2 linked regions of the Arabidopsis thaliana genome follow. The protein of the gene in region 2 interacts with the protein of the main gene of each other region in a pairwise test. Each region holds a gene or a part of one and is shown on either strand. Other genes may lie near its edges. The genes, in order: PRR1 and AT5G47435.

What was found.
Region 1: the proteins of AT5G47435 (region 2) and PRR1 interact in a two-hybrid assay, tested with the Arabidopsis thaliana proteins (one large-scale study listed by BioGRID).

What each region holds. Positions count from the first base shown.
Region 1 is NC_003070.9:11,539,934-11,555,397, reverse strand, and holds PRR1 (pinoresinol reductase 1), read left to right. Parts: upstream 1-7,381; 5' UTR 7,382-7,444; coding exon 7,445-7,792; intron 7,793-8,081; coding exon 8,082-8,322; intron 8,323-8,432; coding exon 8,433-8,636; intron 8,637-8,765; coding exon 8,766-8,926; 3' UTR 8,927-9,238; downstream 9,239-15,464. Other genes in the region: AT1G32120 (serine/threonine-protein phosphatase 7 long form-like protein), read right to left, coding at 1-357, 438-2,472; AT1G32090 (early-responsive to dehydration stress protein (ERD4)), read left to right, coding at 11,357-11,673, 12,291-12,443, 12,540-12,675, 12,755-12,856, 12,940-13,059, 13,140-13,220, 13,295-13,635, 13,715-13,960 and 3 more. UniProt on the Arabidopsis thaliana protein: Reductase involved in lignan biosynthesis. Involved in secondary cell wall biosynthesis in fiber cells. Unlike conventional pinoresinol reductases that can reduce both pinoresinol and lariciresinol, PRR1 shows a strict substrate preference toward pinoresinol.
Region 2 is NC_003076.8:19,235,933-19,251,918, reverse strand, and holds AT5G47435 (formyltetrahydrofolate deformylase), read right to left. Parts: upstream 10,248-15,986; 5' UTR 10,141-10,247; coding exon 9,887-10,140; intron 9,748-9,886; coding exon 9,597-9,747; intron 9,520-9,596; coding exon 9,446-9,519; intron 9,356-9,445; coding exon 9,196-9,355; intron 9,030-9,195; coding exon 8,931-9,029; intron 8,836-8,930; coding exon 8,749-8,835; intron 8,642-8,748; coding exon 8,495-8,641; 3' UTR 8,436-8,494; exon of another isoform or gene 8,356-8,435; 3' UTR 8,350-8,355; coding exon of another isoform or gene 8,108-8,349; 3' UTR 8,028-8,107; coding exon of another isoform or gene 7,970-8,027; 3' UTR 7,931-7,969; downstream 1-7,930. Other genes in the region: AT5G47455 (uncharacterized protein), read right to left, coding at 723-841, 939-1,114; TIP2;3 (tonoplast intrinsic protein 2;3), read left to right, coding at 2,453-2,830, 3,036-3,410; AT5G47440 (auxin canalization protein (DUF828)), read left to right, coding at 6,715-7,011, 7,090-7,483, 7,574-7,753, 7,831-7,880, 7,970-8,027, 8,108-8,349; AT5G47430 (DWNN domain, a CCHC-type zinc finger), read left to right, coding at 11,284-11,488, 11,755-11,851, 12,041-12,122, 12,226-12,395, 12,485-12,561, 12,716-12,772, 12,869-13,025, 13,125-13,276 and 7 more. UniProt on the Arabidopsis thaliana protein: Deformylase involved in photorespiration. Prevents excessive accumulation of 5-formyl tetrahydrofolate (THF), a potent inhibitor of the Gly decarboxylase/Ser hydroxymethyltransferase complex.

The sequences.
Region 1 (15,464 bases), on a different chromosome or scaffold from region 2:
CTTCATGAGATCTTGGAGGCTTCTTCCTCGTTGAAGAAGAAGAGACAGACAAAGAAGATGACATGTACGGTTCTTTTGAAACTCGTGGGCTTGGGGGATTTTTCTGACCACGCGAGTTAATAGCTTCAGGAGATCTTTGTGACGTCTTCCTCTTTAAAGGATAACTAGAAACAGATGGTGTCCTGTTCGATTCTTTGGAAACTCGTGAGCTTGTGGAGTTGTGGTGCTTTATGTAGTTCTCTTGCTTAGGAGGATGAGCAACAGACGATGTATGTCTTGGAACCCAAGGAGAAGAGCTCGATTGCTTGGCTAAGTCTGCTACCCGAGGTAACATGTTCGGTTTTTTGACAGGAGAATCTGTTAAAGAAAGTTAAGATGTCAATCCAGAAACAAGAGAATCAACAGTGAGACCTGAACATGAAAGCACATCATTTTACCACTTTGCTTTGGCGAAAACGTATGTGTCTTGGATGGAGATCTCCCAGGCGAGCTAGGAAGCTGAAACGTGACATGACCCTGACTCTTTGTTCCCCCCGAGCCCCTGAGAGCTCCCTTAAGATCCTTAACATCATCCGCTGCTCTTCCCGAGCTTCTATCAGGGCTCTTTGTCGATCTAGGTGAGGATCGCTGAACCCATTTAAGATTATCAGAGCTTCTAGCAGGACTCTTTGTCGATCGAGCTGATGATGTCTCAACCCATTCAGGCTCATCAGAACTTCTATCAGGGCTCTTTTTCGGTCTATGTGATGATCTCTGAACCCATTCAGGCTTCTTGAAAGGATGCTTAGTTGCTTGCTCTGAACCCGTGAGACTCCCTGCATAGCTACTACTGCCATGGCTTCGACCATCTGCTCTACTCACCTCGATGCTTGATCCAGTAACAGATGTCTCTCTTTTTGTCTCTATTTCCCTCTTCTTTACCACCTCTTGATCTTTTCCCTCAGCTTTTGCTGCTGATATTTTCTTTGTTACCTTTGTAGGAGTCGTTGCAGCAGTTGTTGTTGTAGTCACAGGTTTCTGTTTTGAATGTGAAGCCAGAAGCGTTTTGAAAATTTTCTCAGCCCCTAACTGCAAAACCGCAACAGAAAGTTTCCACCACCGAATGTACCCAACCGTAACATCAGCCTCGTGAAGCCGAGCAGGAAAGTACAACATTCCATCAGCAATGGGACGGATATAATCTTTCCAGGCCAATTCCGGCGTCTCAATTCTAGCTGGAACTACGCCGGGAACATCCTGATCATAACCAAACTGCAATGCCACACGGTGAGGATAATAAGGTTCAATGCAATCCAAACCAACCAGTTTAGCAAACCTCAAACACCGACCAAAGGCTACAATGTTCTCATCAGGTCTTACTCGAACCCAACAGTCATCTTCAAAGTAAAACTTTGGGAATCTGAAGTTATTCACAGGTTTTGTATATGGACGATAGTCGAAACTCTCTTTAGCCGAGTCCAACACCGCTCTGATATTCTCAGGATAGCCATACACATCCTGACCACCACCATAATGATGCCACCGCGCTATCCGCGGTTCACCAGTCTTTAACTGACTCGGCTGGCCAGGTGGCTGCAACGCCATGAATCTCTCCAGAGCCCAAACCTGCACAAACTGAAACGGAGACTTCACCACCACTGTCTCTTTCTCACTATAACCAGTAAGAAACTCCTTCAAAACCCCAAGATCCCCGTAAATCCTAGCTAAAACCGCCGGAGCAAGAGCCAACCTAACACCCTTAGCAAGCTGAACCGCAGCCGGAAACAGCTTCTCTCTCAACACGTCACCCGAATTAGTGAAGACGAAACGCGAAAGCCACGAAACCATAAACGCCTCATGCTCAATCTCATTCCCTGAATTCATCATCTCTTTCATCCACATACTAACACAACATTTCTTCTCCAAACTCACCTCAATATAACGTTTCGCCTCCTTCATCTTCTCCTCCACCTCCTTCATACCATCTCGTTTAACCGGAGCCAAAGCATTGTTCCCAGTAACAGACAATCCTCCAAGAACAATCATATCCTCCAACGTCAACGTCGCTTCACCCCAAGGAAACACAAATGTATTCGTCTCAATACACCATTTCTCCACCAACGCCACAATCAAATCATCATGCCTCTTAATCTGATACCTAGACGCCAAAATCGCATCGTAAACACCAGATTTCTTCCACACCGTGGCGTGTGACTTAGCCATTACATTAACCCACTCAATCCAGTTCAACGACGGAGTTCCCCACCCTGGAAACGAGATCTTCGCCGTTGGATCAAACCCTTCCGGTGGTCTACACACAAACGCATCGAGAGGAAGGTCAAAGACATCGTCGTCGATAGATGCCGTTGTGTAGTTTAAGAACCTCGCCGTTCGTAAAGATTCAAACTTTTCACCGTCGGGACACATTAAAGCTTCCCTGACTTGAACAATTTGTTCATCTTCTTGATCAGAAGATCCTCGAGACTCCTCCATTATTAGGTCGGAGAACCAAAAACACAAATTTTAGGGTTTTGGGTCAATTTCTGGCTAAAGTTTAGAAATTTACAATGGGGAAAGAAAGGAGAAGCAGTTGAGAGACAAAATCTTGACTCCGGCGCGTTTGTTGCCGGAGATCCCGACAGAATTTTCCCGCTTAACGGGGAAGAAGAAGGAAACAAAAAATGTTTTTTAAAAAGAAACAAAATTTAAAATCTATTTAGAGATATGATAATAATCTAACGGTGGTGGAGCTTTGCTTTTACGTCAGAAGTATACTTCAATTGGAAAATTTTATCCTGTTCCTGTTTTTTGGAACTTTTTTTGGTAAATACAGAAATCTCATTCTAGAAATTATTTTTGTTACAGCTATGAGCTTTACATAAAAAGTATTTTCCAGATAGTATAAGCAGCATAACCAATTTTTATGTAGAATTAACAAAGTGAGAAGAGAGAGGAATTCTAAAAGTTATTAGGAAAAAAACACGTGATTTATATTCTTCAAACTAATTAGATTTTTCTTTTTGTTCAGAAATTAGGATTTTAAAAATTACAAAATACCTTATATATTATTTAAGCTTCTTAATAAAAAAAAATAGTCAAGATTTTGTTTTCATGAAAACTCGGATTTACTAAAAAAAGACGAAGAAATAGATTTCTTATTTCATTCCAATCGATTTAAACGCAAGAGAAAGAATTCATACCACATTCAGGTATCTCGGTTGAAATACTCGTAAATGGTATTTGTGTTTTTAGATTATTAATTTTAGTAATCTCATTTATGAAGTGTTTATTCTCGTTTTCAAGAAATTCTGAATCCAAAATATGAAACAAACCTCGGAAGGAGTTTCCATGTAATCTACGTTTTTCTTTTCACTTAAAAATAAATTATAGATTTAGTTTTACAAAATTGGCAGTTAACGAAACAATTGCAGAAACTAAGCCGACAAACAACATAATAACTAAGAGTCTAAAGTCCAAGAATATGGGAAGCCTACAAACACAACTTCTAATGCATAACAAATCCGAATTCAAGGAAGGGCAAAACATAAACTAACTGAAACATGGAAGATCAAAATCTATAAACAGAATCTAGAACAAGAGACTTTGTAATCTACGTTTTAATACCAACTAAGAAAAAGTTTATCATTAATTAAAAATGTTAATACTAATTAATTAAATGGTAGATAACGGCTACTAGAAAGAGAATTAAAATTCTCTAAAGATTAAGTTTATTAAAGATCCACATAATACAGCCCATTAAAGGCCCAGTCAGTTTTGGGGATCTAGTGCTTTGAAATGTGAGAAAAAATTTTACATTATTATTGGGTATAGTGATGTAATTCATTAAATTAGATTCATTAAACTAGGGGCACATAGATGCAGTCATGCAGAATGTTCCAATACATAAACTATTAATGTTTTATAAGTTAAAAAGTCATAAGATTTGGCTTTTGACATTTGAGTTACATTGTTAATTCAAAAAGTGCATGCTTTCGAGAAGATCAAAAACTTTTTTCTTATTTTTTATTTTATCTACCACTGACTTGGTCAAATTTTTAGCCTTTGTGAAAGAATTTTATTTTTGCATGAATTTAAACCGGTTGATTTAAAACAAATACATTACTTTTGCTAAAGATGGTTCAAGGCGTCCAACAAATACACTGACATAGCAAATTTTGAAATAATCAACTAAAAAATTATTCAACAAATTCAACTGCCTAATCCGGTGGAAACATGCATTAATGGATATAGTATTAAACATCTTTCATTACTTAGAGAAATTTTCAAGGTCAAAACATATACAAAGATATATAAAAATGTTATAATAAGATTTTTTGTTTTAAAGATCAAAGTAGAGTAATATGATATTTGTAACCAAGGGCGTTTTTACTTTTTATCATGTATAAGGGCATCTCCAAGGCTAAACACCATTTTGGTGTTCAAATTACACTATTTTTAGCACTAAAACTTATGTTCTCTCCAACCATAACACCAAAAATCACACTAAAAGAATAATCTACTATTATATTATTTATTTAAAAGATTTCTTTTATTATTTAATAGTTTTGATTAATATTTATTATTAGTATAGAAATACATAACATTATAAAAATAGTACATTGAAATATATATTTAAAAATACATAAATTTTTAACTATTTTAAGTATTTTCATACATAATAATATAAAAATATCATAATTAAATCAACAATTTCAAAAGATATAATATATTAATGTATACATTCATTTTTATATTTTATATTTATTAATCATTTGTAATTTTATATCTGTTAATTGAATTTTTATTGATATAATAAGTGAATAGTGTTTAGAGTTGTGAATAGTATCACACCAAATTTGATGTAACACTGTAGCATTACACTAAAATGGTGTGAATTTTAGAGTTCCATTGGAGAGCTTTTAGTGCAAAAATTACACTAAAATGGTGTTTTAGAGTTTCATTGGAGTTGGCCTAAGTGATTTCAGTTTTAAAAACAAATGGTGTATATAAATAGGGGTTTTGAAAAAAATATATAGATATTAATTAGAGTCTATGATTTTAAAAAAATATAACATACATAAAAATGGACCTATAACTTTTTTGAAAATTATTATATCTCATAGATATACTTTATATAGATGGACCAACATATAGTTTGAGACAACCATGGTTTTAGTCTCATTCCTAATTTCTCCAATTACTCCATTCAAGTGTAGGTGTGAATCAAACATCCAACAAATCTCTAGCGGTACCTTGAATATTGGACGAAACACTGAAACTGTAACCAATTTTATAAGGACAGAACACAAATTCAACTACTTTTTAATTATTACAAGAATGATTTCTTTTTTTTTAAGGATAGAACACAAATCTTCACACGTGGCATCTTCCACAACCAATCACGGTGCTCTCACCAACCCCATAATTAATTTCTCTTATCTATTTGTCATAATTGTTTTTGTTTTCTCCCACAATTATCTTCTAATTCTTTAGTCCACAGCCCCGCTTCGAGAAAAAGGCACGTAATCCTTTGTTTCTCATTCACATTTTCATTTGATTCTAAAATAATATTGGCCATTATTATACATTAACTTTCACCAGAAATTCGTATCTATTTTTGTGTTGATTTAATCGGAATTTGTAATTTAGTAGTCTGCATTCATATTATGTGGAGAACACTCTCTCGAGCAGTCAAGATTTTGTGACGAACCTTATAGAGTTGGTCAAGAATATGCATTTCCCTATCGATTGACCAGCTTTTTAATATTTTTAAGACAATTTTTGTCTACTTCGAAATCTTTCGTATAAATTTTAAAATGAATATTTTGGTATCTAGCATCAGGTTTGTTGATGTTGTATTCTAATCCAGTTTGAGAAACCAATCATCCTTACATATTTTAATTTAGTTTGTGAGGTTGACACAAAAACAAAATCTATAGAAAACTGCATGACGTAGGGTTAATTTGTTCATTGTCTTCAATCTTTTTTCCTGTTGTTTATGATAAAATTAATAACGTTTGATAGTTGATGTTTAAATGTTACAAAATTATTACCCTTCAAAAGATATCATAATTTTTGTGTTTTTAATTTCAGAAAATCATTATGTTTTATACAATTTGATGTTGTAGTTTTCTTTTTGTTCCACTTTGTATCTATATTATTATTATATTTGTTTGTTACTAATAGAAAGAGGAGAAAAGTACAATTAATATTATTAAATTAATAAAAAAATAATTAAAAAATAAAATAAAAAGTTACTTTACTTAATTTATGTGAAAAGAGGAGTAAACGCAAACAAAGAGAGAAGCTCTGTTTTCATATGGCGTTTGATCATTTATTTTTATTTTTTAAAAAATGTCGAGATTAGGTGAACTACTAGTCTACTAATAAGGATTATTATTCCATTGCAAAGAATCTAAAAAGCTCAGATGACATTTGTAAGTCATCACAATAAGGTTGAATAGCTCAGAAGAGTGCGGCGTGTGGGTCATAACGCCACCACTTAAACAATTATTTACTTCGGAGCATTTAGAGATTTACAAAATACACCTATTTGTAGATTTTTAATCTATATTACACATATTGTACCAAATTTTATGTGAATATGATGGCCGAAAAAGAAAGAAAAAATTGTGGCCGATTAGGGGATTCTTTGTGACCATTGAAAAATTGACTATATACACATAGAATTTCAAACAAATGATGTCATGTTTGTAAATGAATACATGCGTAAGCTTTTTAACTGGTATAGAATATAGATTAATTATATATGGAGATAAAAATCTGCTCATGTTACATGTTTTCAAACTCCAATTGAAGAGTTGGCGAATTGTTTTTTCTAAAGTCAATAGTTATGTCAGAAATAGTTAATTTTTGTCAAAGTATACTAAAACGGCCAAATTAATCTCTATTCTCTAATTAAAGTGTTAGCGAAAGATCCCACCAAAACATGTCACCACGAGTTAGAACAATAATCGCTTTCAGAAAGGTCTAGTGGAGTCATCAGGTGTCGTGAGACACATTAGTAAACGAACACGTTAGTCAAATTATTAAGAGACTATGGTTCCACACTGGTAAAGACCCAAGAACTGACTAATCTGTTTTCATATAGACATCTCTATTTTTGTGTTACAATCCAATTATGTACTATTTTCGGAATTAAGATATTATTTACTAATCGTGGATTACCTAATATAAATTCTTTAAAATAATCAAAGAGTATATTTTGTCATAAGTATTCATTGAAAAAGGATATGGTGAGAAAAGTATTAATAGAAAATACGTATTTTCTTTCATAGGCATCATATCAAATGTCGATATCTTTACTTATAATGCATACAATTATCGGTTAGGTGTACACATATATATGTAAATGTATATGTTTCGATTCATTATATATATACACAATCAAGAGAGGCTCTTTCAACCAAAACATTGATCTATAGAGAGAGAGAGAGAACAAAAAATGGGAGAGAGCAAACGCACCGAGAAAACGCGCGTTTTGGTGGTTGGAGCGACTGGATACATAGGGAAGAGGATAGTAAGGGCGTGTTTGGCTGAAGGTCACGAGACTTACGTTTTGCAGAGGCCAGAGATTGGTCTCGAAATCGAGAAAGTCCAACTCTTTCTTTCTTTCAAGAAACTCGGCGCACGTATCGTTGAAGGTTCTTTCTCCGACCATCAAAGCCTCGTATCCGCCGTGAAACTTGTTGACGTCGTTGTCTCCGCCATGTCCGGTGTTCACTTCCGTAGCCATAACATTCTAGTCCAGCTCAAGCTCGTCGAAGCTATCAAAGAGGCTGGTAACGTAAAGGTATAATAAACTATAAATTAAAGTTTAATTATGATTGATCGGTTTAGAAAATTGTGCGGTTAATCTGAAAAAAATCTTATAAGTAAAGAAACCACACGAAAATAAAATTAAAAAAGCCGGAGAGTTTATTTTTGTTTTACTATTTACATTTCATTTATAAGAAAAAAAACGTCAACGGTAAAAGATCCATATTGCATGCATACAAAGAAACTTGATACTCTTGTTGATTATTATTACTTTTTGTTTCTTGTTGTAATTATAATGATATACGTAAGATTAATAATTTCAGCGGTTTTTACCATCTGAATTTGGTATGGATCCACCACGTATGGGACATGCGCTACCGCCCGGAAGAGAAACCTTTGACCAGAAAATGGAAGTGCGTCAGGCGATAGAGGCTGCCGGAATTCCTTACACTTACGTTGTGGGTGCTTGCTTTGCCGCCTACTTCGCCGGAAACTTGTCTCAGATGGTAACTTTACTTCCTCCGAAAGAAAAAGTTAATATTTATGGTGATGGAAATGTAAAAGGTAAAATTTTCAAACTCTTTTTTAACTCTTTGTGGTTATATACCTTTTAAGACTTTAAATTAGATCAAGCCCATCTAAACCAATCAATTTAAACCGTTTTATATTTGTAGTGGTGTTTGCGGATGAAGATGATATCGCAAAATACACCGCGAAAACGTTAAACGATCCACGGACATTAAACAAAACCGTGAATATTAGACCTCCCGACAACGTTCTCACGCAGTTGGAATTAGTTCAGATCTGGGAAAAGCTAACCGGAAAAGAATTGGAGAAAACAAATATTGCTGCACAAGACTTCCTCGCCAACATTGAACGTAAGTCCAAGCAATAGTGTAACGTAATCTACTTTATGTTCGGCAACATATCCTTAATGGGCCAGGCTTTAGGTCTATTTGAAAAATATAGCCCATCAACTTTATTTGATTTCTTTTACATGTATGTAGAAATGGAGATTCCACACCAAGCAGGGATAGGACATTTCTATCACATTTTCTATGAAGGATGTCTCACTGATCACGAAGTCGGAGAAGACGAAGAAGCTTCTAGTCTTTATCCTGACGTCAAGTACAAACGCATGGATGATTACTTAAGAATGTTCCTCTGATTTGACCAAGTCTTATCTATACTAAATACACATATCAAAAGTTTGATGTTTTATATTCATTCATGTTCTGCTATATATGCAAATTTAAAAATATATTCTTCATGCAAGAAAAAATATTATCTTTGGTTTTTAACAACCAATAAAAAGAACAACAACAACACAAGGAGTAAGGCGTTGGTAACTCTACTGATTGAACCCTACCTCGTAACTTCTAGTATGGAAGAATACGGAGGTCCAAAGCTCGAGAGGTTTGATGAAATCTTGTATCTCGGTTCGTAACTAAGATCAGAACAAAAAACACACACAACAACAACAACAACAAAATATCCATGGAATTGCATCGATATGAAAGAAGACTACTAACAAATGAGAAAAAAAATCAGTAGGAAAGTAGAAATATGAAAGATCACAAGTTTTTGTTTCTTAAAGCAAAAAAACCATAAAACCCACTTGTAAGCCCAGTCTTTAATTTATATACCAGTGCTAAACTATGTGGTTGCAAGTTGGAATTGGAACTTTCTAAGTGTATGTGAATATGCATAAATTGAAACCAAACAATTAGTTGAGCTTGTGTACTAAATTATTGTAATCGCCGCCAAAAGATAAGTAATAATAAACTATTGCTCTCTTTTGTGGACAACAACGCACACGAGACTATACAAAATTTGATGGAATAAAAGACAGCGCATAAGACAAGATAAACAAAGGCTGATAATTGCATAATGTGCATATGGGACTTTTGGAGTGTCATCAATGAATCACGAGGACGGATGTTAGTATATTACAATTGTTTATTACAAACTCGAATAATTCCAATTTACCATCATTGACACATAAACATTATGAAATCAAATGGTTTGATAATGATCCTTGCATATATAATTATAAAAATCATCAACCCGAATTTGAGTTCGAATGAAAACAGATAATTTTACTATCCACTACTACGTCACATATTTTTTTTTAGTCGCGATTTCGTACAAACTAATCGGTGGTTAATTAAAACGTAAAAGTCAAATATTTTTGTTGTGGATAGAATGTAAACAATACTTTTTTAAGTCATAAGAAGGCAACACAAGCAATGTTAGCATAATGTTTATTGCCAACGAGTAGATAAACGTGGATGAGCGCATCAAGACATGTTACTAATCCCAAAACCTTAAGCAAAAGCGATATTAAAATTTATCAAGATCATAGACTCTGTACATAATATTTTTATTCCTGAAATGACTAAAAATTGTATGACTGATCAAACGTATAGAATTGTATAACGTTTGTTGACAAAAACTTGTTCGTCAAAATTTTCTTCTATATTTTAAATAAAGCTAAAACGAGTCCATATTTTATTCCCGCAAAGCTTTTTGATTTCCTCGACCAAAATAAATGCATGTCCTACCTAAAAACTATAAGTACATCTCCTAATACGAAGAATATAATTTTATCATGATTTGTCATTTGGTTATAATTTATCCATTATTTAGATTAGGTAACCGAAAACTTTGCCTTTATTTGAAAAGTTAATACAGAAACTCATAAAAGGCAAATACAAGATGCTTCTCCATATATCAAACCTTATTTAATTTCTAGTATACCAAAAGAAGTCAAAAGAAAACGAAATTTACTCCATCACTCGATGATTTCACGCGTGCTACTACTTTGATAGTTGGTCACTACAATAAGCAATGAGCATTTCTCAATTCTCATACTCTCTTTAGGAATATAATCGTAACAAAAAAACATCAAATGAATTATTCAAAATTTATTTCCCAAAAGAAAAAGATTTTGATATCTAACCAAATTTAAATCCGGCCCACACAACATGATACTTTGACACCAAATGTTGAGGGTTTCTCTTATCTCTTGGCTCTAAACCTAATTCCAACCCAAAAAAAAACATATGAAATAGTACAATACAAATATCAAGGGGTCTTAAAGATATTTCCAAAATATAAGTAAGAGGAAATGAAAATTAGCTGTATACAATATAATATATTGTCCATAATTTTTTTATATATATAATATGGTATTACCTTATGTCAATTAGTTATAATTATACATTACAATTGATAAACATGCAATGATTTGTGGGTTTTAGTTTAAATAATTTTCAAACATTATTATGTAACTTATGTTTAACTATTATGAATTTTTTTTATCTTTTCGGATGTCATCTATCTTAGTATTAGATCAAAATAATTTACCATAAAATCTGTAGAAAGATTTTTTAATTTTTTTGGTAAGGTGAAGAAAAAATCATTTGTTTATAGAAATGGATAATATTTTTATATAACAATTGGAAAAAAACCTCAAAAATAAAAATATTAGAAACTCCTAGAGTTTGGATACTTTCTTCATTCTCTTTCTTTCTCCTTTACGCCACTCTCCATCAAAACCCATCTCTCTTCTCTTTCTCTCTCGAGTTTATCAACAATGGCGACTCTACAAGACATAGGAGTCTCAGCTCTCATCAACCTCTTCGGTGCTTTCTTATTTCTTATAGCATTCGCTGTCTTAAGAATCCAACCCATCAACGACAGAGTTTACTTCCCCAAATGGTATCTCACCGGAGAAAGAAACAGTCCTCGGCGCTCCGACAGAACTCTCGTCGGAAAATTCGTAAACCTCAACTACAAGACTTACTTCACGTTCCTTAATTGGATGCCTCAAGCTATGAAAATGAGTGAATCAGAGATTATTCGTCATGCTGGTCTTGATTCTGCTATCTTCCTTAGGATTTACACTCTCGGGTAAGTATTTTATCTTCTTCTTCTCGGAATTTGGTTTTGTCTTACATAAAAAACGAAACTTTTTGAGAGTTTGAGTTGTTTGCTAGTAAAATCTGTTGAGAAGTCAATATCTCGAGAAAATGAAAGAACAAAAAAATCGAAACTTTTTCAATATTGATAGAAAAATGTTGATTATTACAGTTGCTCTTTATTTTTATTGTCCTACATAATTATTTCACTAAGATTTGATTAATGGTTCTCGAGAGAAAAATTGTTACTTTCGAGAAAATTTATGTTTTTTTGGTTCTTGTTCTTGTGGGTTTTTTGTGGGATTGATTGTAATCTCCAAGAACGAATTTTTACGAGTGACAAATTCCCGAATTTCACGGTTTTAAGAATCTTTACTCGTGAGAATGATTGTACTTTATTTTAACAATATAAAGAATGTACAGCTAAGTTTCAGATTTGTCTGCTCTGTATTCCACAAAGACAAAAGCAATAGAAGTTTCGTTTCTGTTCACTGTTTCGTGTTTGTTTCCTGAGAAAAAGTCACTCTTTAGATATCTTTCTTTTTTCCCCGGGAAAGTTACTGTAAAAATTTATGTGAGAATCTGAATAATTTGTTGGTTTGTTGGCAGCTTGAAGATCTTTGCACCAGTGATGGTATTAGCGCTTGTTGTTCTTGTTCCAGTAAATGTATCAAGTGGAACACTTTTCTTCTTGAAGAAGGAACTTGTGGTCAGCAATATCGATAAGCTCTCTATATCCAATGTTCAGCCCAAATCTTCAAAGTGAGCTTACTTGTGAACTAAAATTATGCTTTACTAATCAATGAGTTTTACTGGCTAAAGTTTAACATTTCTGTGTATGTGTGTGTGTGTGTTTAGGTTCTTCTTTCATATTGCAGTAGAGTACATTTTCACGTTCTGGGCATGTTTCATGCTCTACAGAGAATACAATAATGTCGCTATTATGCGTCTGCAGTATTTAGCTTCACAGCGTAGGCGTCCAGAACAGTTCACTGTGAGTGAAAAAGCCGCAAACTTCAAACATGGATAATTGTTGCATCTATGTTTATATATACTACTGTTTGTTTTTGCAGGTTGTTGTTAGAAACGTCCCTGACATGCCTGGTCACTCGGTTCCCGATACCGTTGATCAGTTCTTTAAGACGAATCACCCTGAGCATTACCTCTGTCATCAAGTAATTTTGTTTGTCCTTCATCACTTACTTTAGTTGTAGAATGCGTTAGTGTGTGATTGATGAATTCAACATTCTTGTTTCAGGCTGTTTATAATGCGAACACTTACGCAAAGCTGGTGAAGCAAAGAGCGAAGTTGCAACGTTGGTTTGACTATTATGTGCTGAAGCATCAACGTAATCCGCATAAGCAGCCTACTTGCAGAGTTAGTCTCTCCCACGCCATTTGTTTAGCTTTTTGAAATGAAACGATGTTGATTGTGATGGGCGGATTTTCTTTTTTCAGACAGGTTTTCTTGGTCTATGGGGTAAGAGGGTTGATTCCATTGAGTACTACAAGCAACAAATCAAGGAGTTTGACCACAATGTAAGCCATTCATTTGCTTTTTAAGTTACTGCTGAAACAGAAACTTAAACCTCGTTTCATCTTTGGTGATACAGATGTCTTTGGAGCGTCAAAAAGTTCTCAAGGACTCCAAGCTAATGCTTCCTGTTGCATTTGTGTCGTTTGATTCACGATGGGGTGCTGCTGTTTGTGCACAGACGCAGCAGAGCAAGAATCCGACATTATGGTTAACGAGTAGTGCTCCAGAGCCTCGTGATATCTATTGGCAAAACCTTGCTATACCTTTTATCTCTTTAACCATCCGGAAACTCGTAATTGGTGTCTCAGTCTTTGCCTTGGTCTTTTTCTACATGATTCCTATCGCCTTCGTGCAATCTCTTGCCAATTTAGAAGGTCTTGACAGAGTTGCACCTTTCCTCAGACCTGTTACTAGATTGTAAGTCTCTCCATCTATCTCGGTTTTTTGCTTCTTGGTATGTTAGACCATTGATCCCTCTCCTTGGTATTTATTGCAGGGATTTCATCAAGTCATTCTTACAGGGTTTCCTCCCCGGTCTTGCGCTGAAAATTTTCTTGTGGATTCTCCCTACGGTTCTGCTAATTATGTCGAAGATTGAGGGATACATCGCTTTATCAACCCTTGAGCGTAGAGCAGCAGCAAAGTACTATTACTTCATGTTAGTTAATGTGTTCTTGGGAAGTATCATTGCTGGAACCGCGTTTGAGCAGCTGCACTCTTTCCTTCACCAATCACCATCTCAGTAAACCACCTTTTACTTCTATTAACCGTCTAAAGATTCTAACTTTGAATTAAAACTCATATCTTAAATGCTCTTGTTTATTGTGTTTATGCAGGATTCCTCGAACCATTGGGGTCTCCATACCGATGAAAGCTACATTCTTTATCACATACATAATGGTTGACGGATGGGCTGGGATTGCAGGTGAGATTCTCCGGTTAAAGCCCCTCGTGATTTTCCACTTGAAGAACATGTTTATTGTGAAGACTGAAGAAGATAGAGTGAGAGCAATGGACCCTGGTTTTGTCGATTTCAAGGAGACTATCCCATCTCTCCAGCTCTACTTCCTCTTGGGAATTGTCTACACTGCTGTTACTCCCATTCTTCTTCCTTTCATTCTCATATTCTTTGCCTTTGCTTACTTGGTCTATCGCCATCAGGTTCGGTTTCATACCCAATCACCCGTCGTATCTAATTCTCCGCTAAATTTTGGGTTTTCTTGATGGTGCTTTCTTGGTTTACAATGCAGATAATCAATGTTTACAACCAACAATACGAGAGTTGTGGAGCGTTTTGGCCGCACGTTCATGGCCGGATAATCGCAAGCTTGTTGATATCTCAGCTTCTGCTAATGGGACTTTTGGCTTCTAAAAAGGCAGCTGACTCAACTCCATTGCTTATCATCTTACCCATTCTCACACTTTCTTTCCACAAGTATTGCAAACACCGCTTCGAACCTGCCTTTCGACAATACCCTCTTGAGGTAAATAAAGAATCTTTTGGGCTCTCTTCCTAAAAAAAAAAGGTTTAAAGCCTTCTTACAAAGACCCGTGTTTTTGGTCTTAACAGGAAGCAATGGCGAAAGACAAGTTAGAGAAGGAAACAGAACCGGAGTTGAACATGAAAGCAGATCTTGCAGATGCTTACTTGCACCCAATTTTCCATTCATTCGAGAAAGAAGTAGAATTATCATCATCATCATCATCAGAAAAAGAGACTCACCAAGAAGAGACACCAGAGGTAAGAGTGGACAAACATGAAACACAGTCGTCTAGTCCTGTGACAGAGCTCGGTACTTCTTCCCATCACCATCATGTCTACAATTCCACTTCCCCTTCTTCTCACTACGCTTCAGCTTATGAGCAGTCATCGTCTCAGTATGAATATCACTACAATACTCATCAGTACGAGGAGCATGAGTACCGTTACAATTGATCTCTAGACAGAAGAAAAATATGTAATCTCTTATGAGTGTCATAACTAAAGGTTTCTTTTGGTCTAGGTTTAGGTTATTTGTTAGCTGACTTTGGTTTCGGTTTTAAAGGTTAGGAAATTGGTGTTAGTGTCATTCACTTGTATGAAAATATATTCGAAGATTTAATTTATTGTCATCTTTCAAGCCTATTGTAATTGTAAAATTTGGTTTATTGGATATGATAAAAGTTACGTTAGAAAATACTCTAATAAAAAAGATGTATCAAAAACTATATTAATATTAAATTAAAGTAGACAAAAGACCTTTCTT
Region 2 (15,986 bases):
TTTTACAAATTACTACAGTATTGTTACTACTCTTATACACGGATCATGAACTAAATTCGCTAGACTGCCATACATAGAAAGAAAAAAGAAGAAAAACAAGAAACACAATGACAATCTGACAAGGCTAACATTTGGTTTAACTTCCAGGGTTTTTTCCTACAAATTTGTTTTCATTATTTCATTTGGATAACTAGAATTCATAAAAGGTTCGTACTTGATAAAGATGCAAGGATCCCACATGGTAACGGTGAAATTATGTGCCTGCATGAACCAAGTACTCATAATTAGACAGACACAATGGCACTGAAGCTCAAAACTCTTTCACAACTCTGAAAACTAATTCCTCAGCCTATATTAGTTTCACTAGGGCCAATCATCCTACTTGTTATGAGTCAAACATTAAACCTGATTCGGCAAGCAAGAAATTAACATAAAGCAGGAAGAAGCAAAGTCACAAATCAAACATAGAGCTTTCAAGACTTCATATAATCAATCGAATAATTTATCCTTACATCAATATAGTGTCCTCACATGCAAAACACTTGGGAAATGGTTCAGTTTTCTAAGTCTAACTAACAAAAACGAGTGCAAACCATAAAAGACTTGTGCAACATAGAATTGCAAATTATAAAGACTCAAAGAAGGAAAGCAAAATAAAGCGACTCACAAGAAAGAAAGCAGAAAAGAGAATTAGAGGTCGGGAGAGGTGCAGCAGAGAGTACCCTGAGTGAGAGCTCGGCTGCTTCTGGAAGTTGTGCTTAAGCATGACGTCAACCGCGCAGCCGCCACCGTGCTGTGTAGCGGTAACAGAGACTGAACACAACCAAGCTCCGACGGACACCTATAATGTAATCACACAAATTCATCAAAATGAGATCAAAGAAATGGCCAAAGTGAAGCAGATACATGGAATTAAACACTAAACATATGAAGCAGACCTGGAGAAGGAGAATCGGGGAAGAGGAGAAGCAGCTGGTTTAGACGGAATACGAAATCCGGCGGATGAAGCAGCAGCCGGAGAAGATCCAGTGCCAATGGGAGAATTTCGAAATGAAGATCTAATGGCGGATTTGAAAGACGAGACAGAGGATCTGCTCATGAATCTAGAAGCCATTGTAAGAGCTAGAAAATGAAGCCGGAAAAAGTGAGATCGATCTTCTTCTTCCACAGAGTTTTTATAGGGTTTTAGAACGGACGGAGGAAAGATGATGAGGAAGCCGGAAAATAAATATCTGGTTTTTCTTCTTTTTTGGGTTTAGCAATCTTTCAGATCATTATGGGCTTTAGGCCCATTAACGAAAAAGTTACGCCATCTAAACTCGCTTGATAACGAAGAATAACACCCACAAACCTTCACGAGGGACAAGAATGATAGGGTGGACGGGTCCGTGGGTGAAACTCACGACGGATGAAGCTTCCCGAGGGAATCCAGGAGCAGCCGCTGCTAGAGGAGCACTATAGGATGACCAAAGCAATTTTTTCAAATCTTTCTGCATGCATTATCATATTCTTGAAACCGAGATATTATTTTATTTTATTTTTGAATAAAGTAAAATCAAAATATTACATTTGAGCACGAAATCAATTTACTTAGAGCGAGAATTCGCAAACTGGTCATTATGACTTGCAAAAACGGACGTGAATTCAAGCATTACCTGATCATGTGTAAATGTTAGCAAGGTGTGAGCTGATAACAAAATAAGAAATTGGGATCGTATTACCTTTCCAGGATTATCAACTAAACGTAAGTAATTCTCTTGATTGATGTCTTTTGAGCTGGCTGAATGGTAATGCGGGGAGTGAAGGGTTACCGACCCTAGGCGGACAAAGTTTCTTATCAAATCAGTAGAAGACCTCGGAGTAGCATTTGGATTCAAACACTAGATCTATAAATGAAAAAAAAAAAAAAACTTGAATTACACTAAATCTATATTCGATATAATGTTAGTTTTGTGAAAAGTCATAATCTCATCTAGTTAAAAATTGGCTTTCCTTAAAATATTTCCAATCAACCAACTCCGCACAGGAAAAAAAAAAAGAAACAAAGAAATTGTATTTAACTTATAATCCCCACTAATACTTTAGCACCTTCCTACTTCTCTAATCCAATACGAAATTGAAAATAACAAAGACTAGTAAACATAATAAGGCCATTATCATTATTGGTGTGACACAAACATTAATTTAAAAATGCGGGATATCAAAATGCCAACAGAAGATTCTTATCCTTACATGTTATTAAATCCCACTATAGTTGTCACTACACATCTTTAATATTGCTAACCTTCCATTAATCAAATAAGAGGCGGTTTGGGCGGCATCCAATAATGATCTCCCACGTAATATCAACCCCACCTTTTGTCAATTGCTCTCTTCACTATATATATACAAAGAGCCCATACAAAGCCCAAATAACAGAAAATAGAAAGAAGTAACAAAACCAAAGCAAAAAATGGTGAAGATCGAAGTTGGAAGTGTGGGAGACTCATTCAGTGTATCATCTCTTAAAGCTTACTTGTCTGAGTTCATCGCAACTCTTCTCTTCGTATTCGCAGGCGTTGGCTCTGCTGTTGCGTTTGCCAAACTAACCTCTGATGGAGCCTTGGACCCAGCTGGTCTTGTAGCAATTGCAATTGCTCACGCGTTTGCTCTTTTCGTTGGAGTTTCCATTGCGGCTAACATTTCTGGTGGTCACCTTAACCCAGCCGTGACTCTTGGCCTTGCCATCGGCGGAAACATAACACTCATCACAGGTTTCTTCTATTGGATTGCTCAGTGTCTTGGCTCCATCGTCGCTTGTCTTCTCCTCGTCTTTGTTACTAATGGCAAGGTACGTACTAGTAAATTTAGTTAGAAAATTAAAAAATACATAGGTTTTGTACTTTTGTTAGGTTTGGTTTATATGTTCGTACCGTCATAGGTACGTTAGTATATTAATATATATATGATGACAAAAATATTATAACGTTTCAAAAACTAAACGGTTTAAGGGTATAAAATAATTGACTAATGAGTTGTTTCCCGGTTTGCTGCAGAGCGTACCGACCCACGGGGTCTCAGCCGGTCTAGGAGCGGTCGAAGGTGTCGTCATGGAGATCGTTGTGACCTTTGCATTGGTCTACACCGTTTACGCCACAGCAGCTGATCCAAAGAAAGGATCGCTAGGGACCATCGCTCCAATCGCCATCGGCTTCATAGTTGGTGCCAACATCCTCGCTGCTGGTCCATTCAGTGGTGGCTCCATGAATCCAGCAAGGTCGTTCGGACCAGCTGTTGTCAGTGGTGACTTGTCCCAAATCTGGATCTATTGGGTGGGACCACTTGTGGGTGGTGCACTCGCGGGACTTATCTACGGTGATGTGTTCATCGGTTCTTATGAAGCGGTAGAAACCCGTGAGATCCGAGTGTAATTGACTGGGTTTTGTGATTGCTTGATGGTTGGTTGATGTTTTGTTTGCGTGTGTATGTTTGGTGTCCACTTTCTTGCAAGATTGTATGTAGAGAAAAGAAAAAAAGTTATGTCCTGTTAATAAGAAAATGTATATACATTTCACTTCATCTCCTTTTTTTTAACGTATAGCATGTTTGGTTTCTTTCATATGTTTTTGTATTCTATGGCATTTTACTTTCATAAAGTTATCGACATAATTAAAACGTACTTAACGATCGGATTCAAACTACTTATCTTCTCTTAGATTTTTGTTGTTCTTGTGATTTGTGATTGTGAATGGTCCATTGAAATATCTAAATCCCAAATACAAATGGATTCCAGTTTCCACACCAATTTTACATCAAAGATGTGAAAATTTGCCGAATGATATGAGCAAGTCAAATTTTATTGATTTGAGATTCATGAGAAGTTACTAATAGACTATATAATTGATGAAATTGTATGGTTCGGTTAAGTATAAACCGGTATGAACCGGGTCTCTCTAGTATATAAAGAGAGTCTCAATGTAACAAACTTTCTTAAGATGAATAACAGAAACTTCTTCTTCTTCGTTCGATTCTTTGATTCTCTCTAGTTCTATTATGGTATCAGAGCGCTGGAATTCGAAGTTCTCAGCCGATTCAACACCTAACTCTCTTCACATCTTCGAGTTCTTGTTCATCTGAGCTCGTCGATCTTCTGTTTTTCGATTGTTTCTTCATAAATCAGTTAAATCAAGCTCAGATTTCGCGATGGTTTCCGTTGAAAAGTTACGGCGTCGCACGAGGAAATCAAGCAAGATCTCAGCTGAGAAGACTCCAGATCGTACTCAATCTTCACCGATTCCACCGGTTCCACCAATTTCGTCTCCGATTCAACAAAATTTTGCTACGAGATCATCAGTTTATCCATTTCCACAGTTCGATTTCGCGGATGCTCATTATTCACCTTATGCATTGTCTAATGGTGATAATCCGGGTACTACAATTGTTTCTGAGGTACTTGATGGATCTAACTTTTCTTCTTGGAAAATAGCGATGTTTGTTGCGTTAGATGCTAAGAATAAGATCGCTTTTGTTGATGGAACTTTACCAAGACCTCCTGAGTTTGATCCGAGCTTTAGAGTTTGGTCACGATGCAATAGTATGGTCAAGTCTTGGATCTTGAATTCTGTTACAAAGCAAATTTACAAGAGTATTCTTCGATTCAATGATGCTGCGGAAATTTGGAAAGACTTGGATACTCGATTTCATATCACAAACTTACCAAGATCTTATCAGTTGACACAGCAGATTTGGAGTTTACAACAAGGCAATATGAGTTTATCTGATTACTATACTACTTTGAAGACTCTTTGGGATGATTTGGATGGAGCTAGTTGTGTTAACACTTGTCGAAACTGCAAATGTTGTTCTGCTACTGCTTCTGTAAATGAGCATTCCAAGATTGTTAAGTTTCTTGCAGGTTTGAATGATTTTTACTCAACCATTCGGAGTCAGATAATCATGAAAAAGACAATACCAGACCTTGCTGAGATTTACAATCTTCTGGATCAAGATCACAGTCAGCGCAACATTGTTACTAATCCAACGAATGCTTCTGCCTTTAATGTCTCCATTTTGTCGAATGATCAGATTGCTGTCAATGCTACTCGTTCTTTTCAACCAAATTCAAAACCAAAAGTTCAGTGTTCACATTGTGGATACACTGGTCACACTGCTGACACTTGTTACAAAATCCATGGCTATCCTATTGGTTTCAAACATAAGCAGAAGGTAGTACACCACCTGAGAAGTCAAAACCGGTTGTTGCTAATCTTGCTTTGACTGATGGGAAGATGACATTGGGAAAAGGCATTGGTCCTGATGGAATTGCTGAATTAGTGGGAAACATGTCGAAAAGTCAGATACAGGATGTGATTGCTTACTTTAGTACTATACGGCATTCTCTCATTGGCAAGATGAGTCTTCTCTCCATATACGGCTCATCTTGAGGGAGGATAATAGACTATATAATTGATGAAATTGTATGGTTCGGTTAAGTGTAAACCGGTATGAACCGGTATGAACCGGGTCTCTCTAGTACATAAAGAGAGTCTCAATGTAACAAACTTTCTTAAGATGAATAACAGAAAGTTCTTCTTCTTCGTTCGATTCTTTGATTCTCTCTAGTTCTATTACTTACTATAATTTATTAATCAATTTGGCCAAAACATAATCAATTTGCAAAACATTCTTGTTGAACGAATTGCTTCGCCACAGTATGCGATCATCATTTTCAACGAATAATGGTTCATTTGCAACATTTGTTCATCAATCTCTCTATCTACGGTTGCCTTGGCGACCAAACGACAACCATTGTCACCTCGAAGCAATTTTACAGAAAACTCACCTATGGCAATTACAACAACATTGTTGATGGCCGTTACGGCGAAAGGGGATCATTCTCCTATTGGCCCGAACGGTGGCATCAACAAAAACGGAAGCAAAATCGGAAACTAAAATTATATCGTATGTTAGTTTATATTGAATCGATAAACTAATCTGTAGAAATATTTCCGTTTTGTATTGCTTTTGTGGAACCAAATATGGAGTATTGATTACGTAATTATCCATAGATATGGAAGGAATAATAATGGTAATATACAAAGAAAAACAAACCAATAGCCGAGAGTTATTCGAATTGTCTTTAACACTTTTGAACTCGTGGGAGTATCTTTATAGAGAAACCAAAAGCGTTGTTGTTACGTGTGACTACAATTATAACAGAAACTGGTCGGTAGAGTCACGAACTCCGTTAAAGTTGTCAGGTCAAATCTTCTCGAACTCAAAAAAAGACAAGACAAAAGAGCAGCTTATGGCTCTCAAACCAATGCATATGTCCCCACAGTATCCTACCATCTTATCTTAATTATTCATATTACGAGACTTCCATGATTTCTCTAATCTACATTTGTACCCATTTGATGAGACATTTCCTGAATCTATTGAGTCTGCTCAAAGCACAATTACATCGATTTGTGTTCTCTCTGTCTCTTCCTTTCTTTCTCTTTACTAATATCAGAACATGGAAACTTCGTTTATTTACTTAGCATCATTTTCTGATTTGATATTTGAACAATTCCAAGCTAGTATTAAAGAAAGAGGTAGTGTTTGCTTATTGGTGATCTGCTTTGTTGTCCTCGTCTTCTTCTCTTTCACAATCTTGAGTCAACAACATTATTAACCTCTTTCATCTCAAAAAGTTCTTTCGTCATCTTGGGTTTTCTGTAAACTAAGAAGGAAATGGAAGGTGGGTTTTATTCCGATTGGAATGATAGTTCCTCGTCGTTATTCGGATCAGAGAATCCGGAGCACGAGTTGGAGGAAGGAAATGTAAGAAGTGAAGAGATTGTCTCTCAGATACCTCAGCCTCAGACACCAAGGGAGCCAATGAAGTTTCTATCCAGATCATGGAGTCTATCTGCTTCTGAAATCTCCAAAGCTTTGGCGCAGAAACAGAGACAACAGCGAGATCTGTTTTCTGTTTCCCAGAACAGTCCTAGAGGCTTCTTCCAAGATGTTGCTGCAGATCCACTCATGGTATGATTACCTTCCACTTGTGTGGACATATTCACCAGTTTTTGAATTCTGATTTTGATGATTCCTTGGTATTTGCAGGCAGAGAATATCATGAACTCAGCTGGAACCCGTAGATCAGGGAGATTATCAAAGTGGTTTCACCACAAACAACACACCAACCCAAGCACCATGAGGATTCCGAGGAAGAAAGATAAAGCGCGTGTACAGAAAGCCCATGTTCACTCAGCTGTGTCCATTGCAGCTCTGGCAGCTGGGTTAGCATCTGTGACTTCTGAGGAAAGCTGCAGCAAAGAGTCATGCTCCATGATGGCACTGGCTCTAGCCTCAGCAACAGAGCTACTGGCTTCACACTGCATTGACATGGCTGAGCAAGCAGGCGCTGATCACACCTGTGTTGCTTCCACGGTCAGGTCTTCCGTTGATATCCACAGCCCTGGCGATCTCATGACTCTCACAGCTGCGGCTGCAACTGGTAAGGCTATTGTTTAAAAGTTGGTGTTTGAGGCTTTGGTTGGGTTAGTAAGATGGTATTTGATCTGAGTCTGTGGAAAAAATGAACCAGCATTGAGAGGGGAAGCAGCTTTAAAGGTGAGGCAGCCGAAGGAATCAAGGAAGAATGCAACTATCACACCTTGTGAAAGGAGCTTCTCAGACTCTCACTGGCCCGGCGAAAATTGTCAGTTTAGATTGGAGGAACCAAACCTTCCTTTAGAGGGCGAACTGGTGCAATGTGCACGAAATGGTAATCCTATTCTTCTCAAACTCTATTCAAGACTGGTTCCACTAATTAAGATGCTTATAATTCTAATTTATTAGCAGGATTGCAGCGAAATAAGCGAGTTTGTGTCTATATCAACAAGAAGTCTCAGGTACTTGAGTAGACTGGATTTAATCTGTAAGAGACACATATCTATTTGCTTCTCTATACTTAGTTACTTAACCTCTATGAATTTCTCAGGTCATGATCAAACTCAAAAGCAAACATGTTGGAGGGGCATTCTCCAAGAAGATCAAATGTAAGCATTTTTTTATTCTTTCAAGAGTTAGGGAAATTACTTGAAACACGGAAGTCTGAAGCTTGTTGTTGCTTTCAAAGGTGTTGTTTATGGAGTCTGCGACGAGATATCTGCATGGCCTTGCAGGAAAGAGAGGGAAAATTCCGAAGAAGTCTATTTTGGTCTGAAAACAGGACAGGGTCTTTTAGAGTTCAAGTGCAAGAGCAAGATTCAGAAGCAGAGATGGGTTGCTGGGATTCAGTCTAATCTCCGCTTAGTAAGTTGCCTCGAGGCTGCCAAATGCTCTCTGGAATCTCTGAGTCTCAGCAATCGCATGCGATAGAGAATCCTGTAAATATTTACTATTCACAGTTTTTTCTGCTGTAAATACTGCAAATGAATCAACAATCTTATAGAAATTCGTATCACCTTTTCTTGAGATGTTCAAACAAAGAATCAGATGAGAATCGTAGTTATTGCTTTCTTAACTAGAATACAACAGTCTTGTTTGTACCATAAGGTAATACCCTTAGTTCGCAGTAAGATTTTATAGCTCTCGTGAGGCATTTTTTCTCTAGGTCCTCGGATTTCTGGACAAAGCTCCTTAAGTTGTCTCGGTGGGAAACACTCTCAACCTGTGAAAAGTTCCATTCAAACAGATAAATTGAGAAAGCTGCAGAAGAAAATTGACAATCCCCAGAAGGTACTACATTACATATCAACTACTTGGAAGATGAATCACCATTTGTTCAATAATTGGCCCTGAATCAAGTTCCTCGGTAACAAAGTGACTAGTGGCTCCAATTAGTTTCACACCAGCGTCGAATGCCTGTAAACAGAATCTAGAACATTAAGAGGCAAGAAAAAAACAGACAACAATATAACCAACTAAGAGAAGGTAGAGCCATGACAAAACTCAGTGACCTGTTTTGCGGGATATCCACCCTTAAATGATGGTAAGAGACCATGGTGGATGTTGATTACATCCTTTCCATAACCTTTCAAAAAGTTACCCGATAAAATCTGCCAAAGGGAAAATGCTATGAATTAAATTTTGCTATTCTTAGTTGGAAATAGAAGAAGAAGCTTAAATAGTACGCAATAATATTCATCTGAACATGTAAGTCAGAATTTGACCAAAGAAAGAAAAAAGAGCTCATGCAAAGACTAAAAATGTGATTTCATCTACCTGCATATATCTAGCAAGAACTAGGAAATCAGTGTCCTTAACCAATTCCAAAATATCATCTTCTCTTTTATTCTCTTTAGTTGTAGATACATAATGATAAGGGATGCCATGCCTCTCAAGAAACCGCATAACGTGAGTGTTTGAAGCTCTTTCATGATTGCTATTAACCAAAAAAAAACATTTCAGCATCCGAGTCACTAGACATATAAATGCTTACATAATATACAGATCCAAAGAACTATTAGCTCACCTTATCACACAGGTAATATCCACAGGGAGTTTCCCGTCCTGCCATTTATGCAACATTTCGACAAGACAATGATCCTGTATATAATAGAAGCACATACTTTTGAGCAGGAAATACAAAGAGTATCGAAAATCCAAAAAGGTATTGTGAATACCTGTTTTGAAAGAAGAAGAGCTATCTTATACTTAGGATCAATAGAAGGCACACGCACAACTGAATTCAAGGCACCGTATCTTTGTGCAATAGTTTGAAAATCTTCATCCACTTGGCTTCTCGGCCATTTAACCGGATCAAAGATAAACTCGCTGTCAAAAGGAAACATCAGAAATAAAACCAATACATAATATTTCACTCGATTCATTATCAAAGCTTCGTACACTTCTTAAAGTCTATTGAACGAGAAAGTTACTAAAAAAGGGAAGATTTTGGAGTAAAAATGGAGACCTGCGAGAGTAGAAGACGTTGTTGTTTTCAGGAACAAAAACATCGTAGCCAAGAATGTTGCCACCTTTTGCTGCTATGCAATCTGATAGTTTAGCTACAATCCCAACAGCATCCTGACAATGGAAGACATGGACGCCGGGAATGAGAACAGGGGAGACGGAGGAATCGAGGGACTCGCCGTGAAATCGAGACGATTTGAGAATCGGAATATTCTTAGCGAAACCAGAAGCTCTCTCGGTGATTCGTCGTATCATGGTTGGTCTCTCTCAATCTCCGCCTCAGCCTCAGCCTCACCGTAACGAGAGAGACCGACCAATCACGGTCCGTCCCGATTCCCCAAAGGATCGCGCTCCACTCTTCCATTTTTTTAATCTTTTTTTTTTTGTCGTCCCGTAAATATTGAGCAATAAAAAATCTGGATTTTTCACTCGGGTGAAAATATCAAAATGGGCATTTAATAAACAAATCAAAATCAAAATGGGCCCAATAAGAAATGGGTTTTGTTAAAATTGATAGCATAAAGTACCACCAAATTTACATATTTTCACAAAAATTGATTTTACTGTATGATTTTAGCTTATTAAAAGTCAAAACTATTTATTACACAAATAAAATATTATTAATATACTAAAATCAACTTTTTACGTTTTCAAATTAACAAAAGTTAGGTAATTTAATGTGTTTTAACTTTTAAGAAGGAAAATAAATAAAAACAAAACCGTGGTTCTGTCCATATTCTTACTTTATAAGTGGGCCCATAAGATAAGATTTTAATTCATTATTTAAAGGAAAATTCTCTTACGGGATTTACATAAACACGGATACGAGAGAAAGAGAGCTCTTGTGTCCAAACCCTAGATTTCAAGATCGATCTATCTTCTTTCTCGTGAAGACACCGCTCTCTACTCGATTCCTATGATTACTCTCTAGATCCTTTTCAATTTCCCCCCGAAAGGTTTCTCGATTTTGATCCCCCAAATCGGAGCTTGGAGCTACCGGATCTTATGGAGTGAAGCCCGATCATCCGTTTCTTTGTTACAAGTTGTCGTTTTGTAGCTGCGAAGATTCCTCGGAGAAGGAGATTTGGAGACATCACCGGCGCCATTCTCAGCTCGGCGATCACACGGACGTTCTCGTTCCTTGAATCTGCAGGAACTTTTCCAGGATTCGTTGATTTGGATTGATTTTGCTACACGCGTGGAGTTTCCTTCTGTGAAGTCGAATCAGCGAAGTAAAAATTGAATCTTTAGGGTTTTCTTAGTTTGTATTTACCTTTTTGTTTTGGAAATCAAATCTCTGGCCTCGTTTTTTTTTTTTAATAATCCGGAGGCCTTGATTAGGGTTTTCAAAATCTAGTAGCTTTGTGTCATGATCTTTATAAGATAAGTAATAGATATATGTATTTTTTTGCTTTTTATATCAGATACAAATTTTCAATGGCAATTTATTACAAGTTTAAGAGTGCAAGGGATTATGATACCATTGCCATGGATGGTCCTTTTATATCCGTCGGTATTCTCAAAGACAAAATTTTCGAAACTAAGCATTTGGGCACTGGTAAAGACCTTGATATTGTCGTCTCCAATGCCCAAACTAACGAAGGTTTGTCTTCTATGTCAAATGTTGTGCTGCGCTTTTCGTATTATTAGACTGTTTGCTTGCAGCTGTGATACAATGAACTTTATTTTATGTTATGATTGTTTACTAGCTGAGCTTTGTCTTATTTTTTTTTTACTTTTGTGAACTATTAGGAAATGGTTTGTTGGAATATGATTCTTGAATTTCTCAGGAAGCTTTAGTGTACTGTGTCTCGTGCCAATATGATTGCAATCTGTGGCCTTTATATGTTCTCTGTTTTGAATTTTCAGAGTATCTGGATGAAGCAATGTTAATCCCAAAGAATACATCTGTCCTTATTCGTCGGGTTCCTGGACGTCCTCGCATCACAGTTATTACCACACAAGAGTACTTTCTCAGATCTTTAGTTTCTATATTCTTTGTCTACTTATTTAGCTATTAAACTTAAATAGACATGATATTAAAAGCATTGCATTTTACTGGTGCATCGTTTTAGCTAAACATAAGTTAATTGTCTGACTATCGGATTTAAGAAACTTCGGGATCCTCAATGATGCAAATATCTTAACTTTGCAGGCCTAGAATCCAGAATAAAGTGGAAGACGTTCAGGCTGAAACCACCAATTTTCCTGTTGCTGATCCATCTGCTGCTGAATTTGTAAGTTGATTATAGTGAACTTTTCTCGGCTTCTGTTGGCATTGACTGCACCTAATTTTCTTCTACTACAAAAGTACTAATGTCATCCGTATTCACCTCTTAGCCTGAAGATGAGTATGACGAGTTTGGGACTGATCTTTATTCCATTCCTGATACCCAAGATGCCCAGCATATTATTCCACGTCCTCATCTTGCAACCGCAGACGACAAAGTAGATGAAGAAAGCAAAATTCAGGCGCTGATTGACACTCCAGCACTTGACTGGCAACAACGGTAAGCAATCTTCCAGAAATGGTGCAGGTGAAACTGTTGGATTTTGTGAGAAGGTTTAACAGACCTCTTATATTTATTCAATGTAACAGACAAGGTCAAGATACTTTTGGAGCTGGTAGAGGTTATGGGAGGGGTATGCCTGGAAGGATGAATGGACGTGGTTTTGGTAACTTATACTTACTTTTATTCTTTGATTTTGGTTGAATTCTGGAATGTCAAAATACAGTATACAAAACATTTACTTCTGTCAAAATATTTTATATTTTTGTTCTATTTGCTCAAGTTGTAAGATACTTAGTTTGGTTTTGCTGGCTGGATAGGAATGGAAAGGAAAACGCCACCTCCAGGTTATGTGTGCCATCGTTGCAATATCCCTGGTATGTCAGCTCTGAAAATCTTTATTTTTCTCTCACTTTTGTAGATGGATATATAATAGATAAGAAGTGTTGAGAGCATTTTCTTTGCTGTCTCAGGACATTTTATTCAGCATTGCCCCACAAATGGAGACCCTAACTATGATGTTAAGAGAGTTAAGCCACCTACTGGTATCCCCAAGTCCATGTTGATGGCGACCCCAGATGGTTCTTATTCCTTGCCAAGTGGCGCAGTTGCAGTTCTGAAACCAAATGAGTAAGTTGTACTGAATTAGTTTGGGAATGTTGCTATTGGGTACTTCTTCACATATATTGATTATAGTTTAAATGTTTGTTGTGTCTTCAACAAATTCAGGGATGCTTTTGAGAAGGAAATGGAGGGATTGCCATCAACAACACGTTCTGTAGGAGAACTTCCACCTGAGCTAAAATGCCCATTATGCAAAGAAGTGATGAAAGATGCTGCGCTTACAAGCAAATGTTGTTACAAGAGCTTCTGTGACAAGTGTAAGTTCTTTTAATGCATTCTGCTGTTCCACAAAAACCTTTTCTGACCGTTGTCAGTTCCAGTTCTACATTATTATCCTTTTTCACTGATTCAGGTATCAGAGATCACATTATTTCAAAGTCAATGTGTGTTTGTGGAAGATCAGATGTACTTGCTGACGACCTTCTACCAAACAAGACCCTCAGGGATACCATAAACCGTATTTTGGAAGCTGGAAACGATAGCACTGAGAATGTGGGCAGCGTTGGCCATATCCCAGGTCCGTCATTATTTTAAATTCATGTGTTTTTAAACTTTGTTTGATTAGTCCTCACTACTGAATTATCATGGACAATATAGATTTGGAGTCTGCACGCTGTCCACCTCCCAAGGCTCTATCTCCTACTACATCTGTTGCATCTAAAGGCGAGAAGAAACCAGTACTTAGTAACAATAATGATGCTTCAACTTTAAAGGCGCCAATGGAAGTTGCAGAGATCACAAGTGCCCCTCGTGCATCTGCAGAAGTGAATGTAGAAAAGCCAGTTGATGCATGTGAAAGCACTCAAGGGTCCGTGATTGTGAAAGAAGCAACAGTGTCAAAGTTGAATACGCAAGCCCCCAAGGAAGAAATGCAGCAGCAGGTTGCTGCTGGAGAGCCAGGTAAAATAAAGATGTACTAATATTAGCTTCACTGGACATTGCGAATGATTGGTGACTGATAGTCCAGTTCAGATTTCCCTACTGAGATTAATCAAGCTGGACCTCACATGAACCTTTTTTTTTTCAATTACTGAGGAACCCTTGTTGTCATTCATCAATGTAATACGTACTTATTGTCTCTATACAGGAAAAAAGAAGAAAAAGAAACCAAGAGTGCCTGGGAATGGTAAAAGCTTTCTTTGCTACGCTGAAGGCAATACATTGTCAGTTTCGAAGTCTATGTGAATCGAATGGGAGGTCTAAAAGATGGTTTGTTTATGTGATTTATTGCAGACATGCAATGGAATCCTGTGCCAGATCTAGCAGGCCCTGACTATATGATGCAAATGGGACCAGGTCCGCAGTACTTCAACGGCATGCAACCTGGCTTCAATGGCGTACAACCAGGCTTCAACGGTGTTCAACCTGGCTTCAATGGCTTTCACCCTGGCTTCAATGGATTTGGAGGCCCGTTTCCAGGCGCAATGCCTCCATTTATGGGTTACGGATTAAACCCAATGGACATGGGATTTGGTGGGGGTATGAATATGATGCATCCAGATCCATTCATGGCACAAGGATTTGGGTTCCCTAATATACCACCACCCCATAGGTAAAACACTCACTCTATCAAAGAAGAGCAATAAAGCTTTCTCAACAAGTCTCATGATGGAACTTTCTGTGCATGCGCAGGGACCTAGCTGAAATGGGAAACCGAATGAATCTCCAACGTGCTATGATGGGCAGAGATGAAGCCGAAGCCCGAAACGCTGAGATGTTAAGAAAACGTGAAAACGAGAGACGACCTGAAGGGTAAAAAGAAAACACTCACTCTATTTTTACTACAGATTCAAACAAGGATATGCTAAAACCTAAACATTGGTTGTTGTTTGGTTGTATATACAGTGGGAAGATGTTTAGGGATGGAGAGAATAGCAGAATGATGATGAACAACGGTACTTCAGCCTCTGCATCATCCATCAACCCTAATAAATCTGTATGTCTCCTTTTGTTTGACTCATCTTCCCCTCTCGCTCTCTCTTTCTTCTTTTCTTTGTTCACCTGTGCTTCGCTCTCTCCCATTTACTTTTGGTTATATGTTATTATTATATCAGAAAATGGCTCCAAATTCTCTTCCCTGATTCCCTCATTTTGCTTATTTTGAAAACCCAAAAAAAAAAAAAAAAAAACTTGAAGAAAACTAGGGGAAAATATATTGGTTTCTAACGTAATTTTCTGAAATATAAAATTGGGGTTTATCAGAAACTAAGGGCTGTGAATAAAAAGGAAAAGAAATAGAAGGGTAGATGGCTAAAAAGCCTAAAATGCAAAATAGTAGGCGTAGGAACCGAAAGGTGACGACGGTAACTGGGCTATTGAGCCCATTTCCTTTTTATTTGTGGGCCGAATTCAATACATATTTTATTATAATAATTTGGGCTAACAATTGTTTTACAGAGACAAGCACCTCCACCACCAATCCACGATTACGATCGCCGGAGACGACCGGAGAAGAGACTATCCCCAGAGCATCCGCCTACGCGTAAAAACATTTCCCCGTCTCGCGACTCCAAGAGAAAATCCGAGCGTTATCCTGATGAACGAGATCGGCAACGCGACCGTGAGAGGTCACGTCACCAAGACGTAGATCGTGAACACGACCGTACTCGCGACCGTCGCGATGAAGACAGAAGCCGAGATCATCGCCACCACCGTGGTGAAACCGAACGCAGCCAACATCACCACCGCAAGAGATCGGAACCGCCTTCATCGGAGCCACCAGTCCCTGCTACTAAAGCAGAGATCGAGAATAATCTTAAGTCTAGCGTATTCGCTCGGATAAGTTTTCCGGAGGAAGAAACATCTTCTGGTAAACGAAGAAAGGTGCCTTCCTCTTCTTCTACTTCTGTTACGGATCCATCTGCTTCCGCCTCTGCCGCAGCCGCCGTGGGAACATCAGTTCACCGACACAGTAGTCGGAAGGAAATAGAAGTAGCAGATTATGAATCTAGTGATGAAGATAGGCAT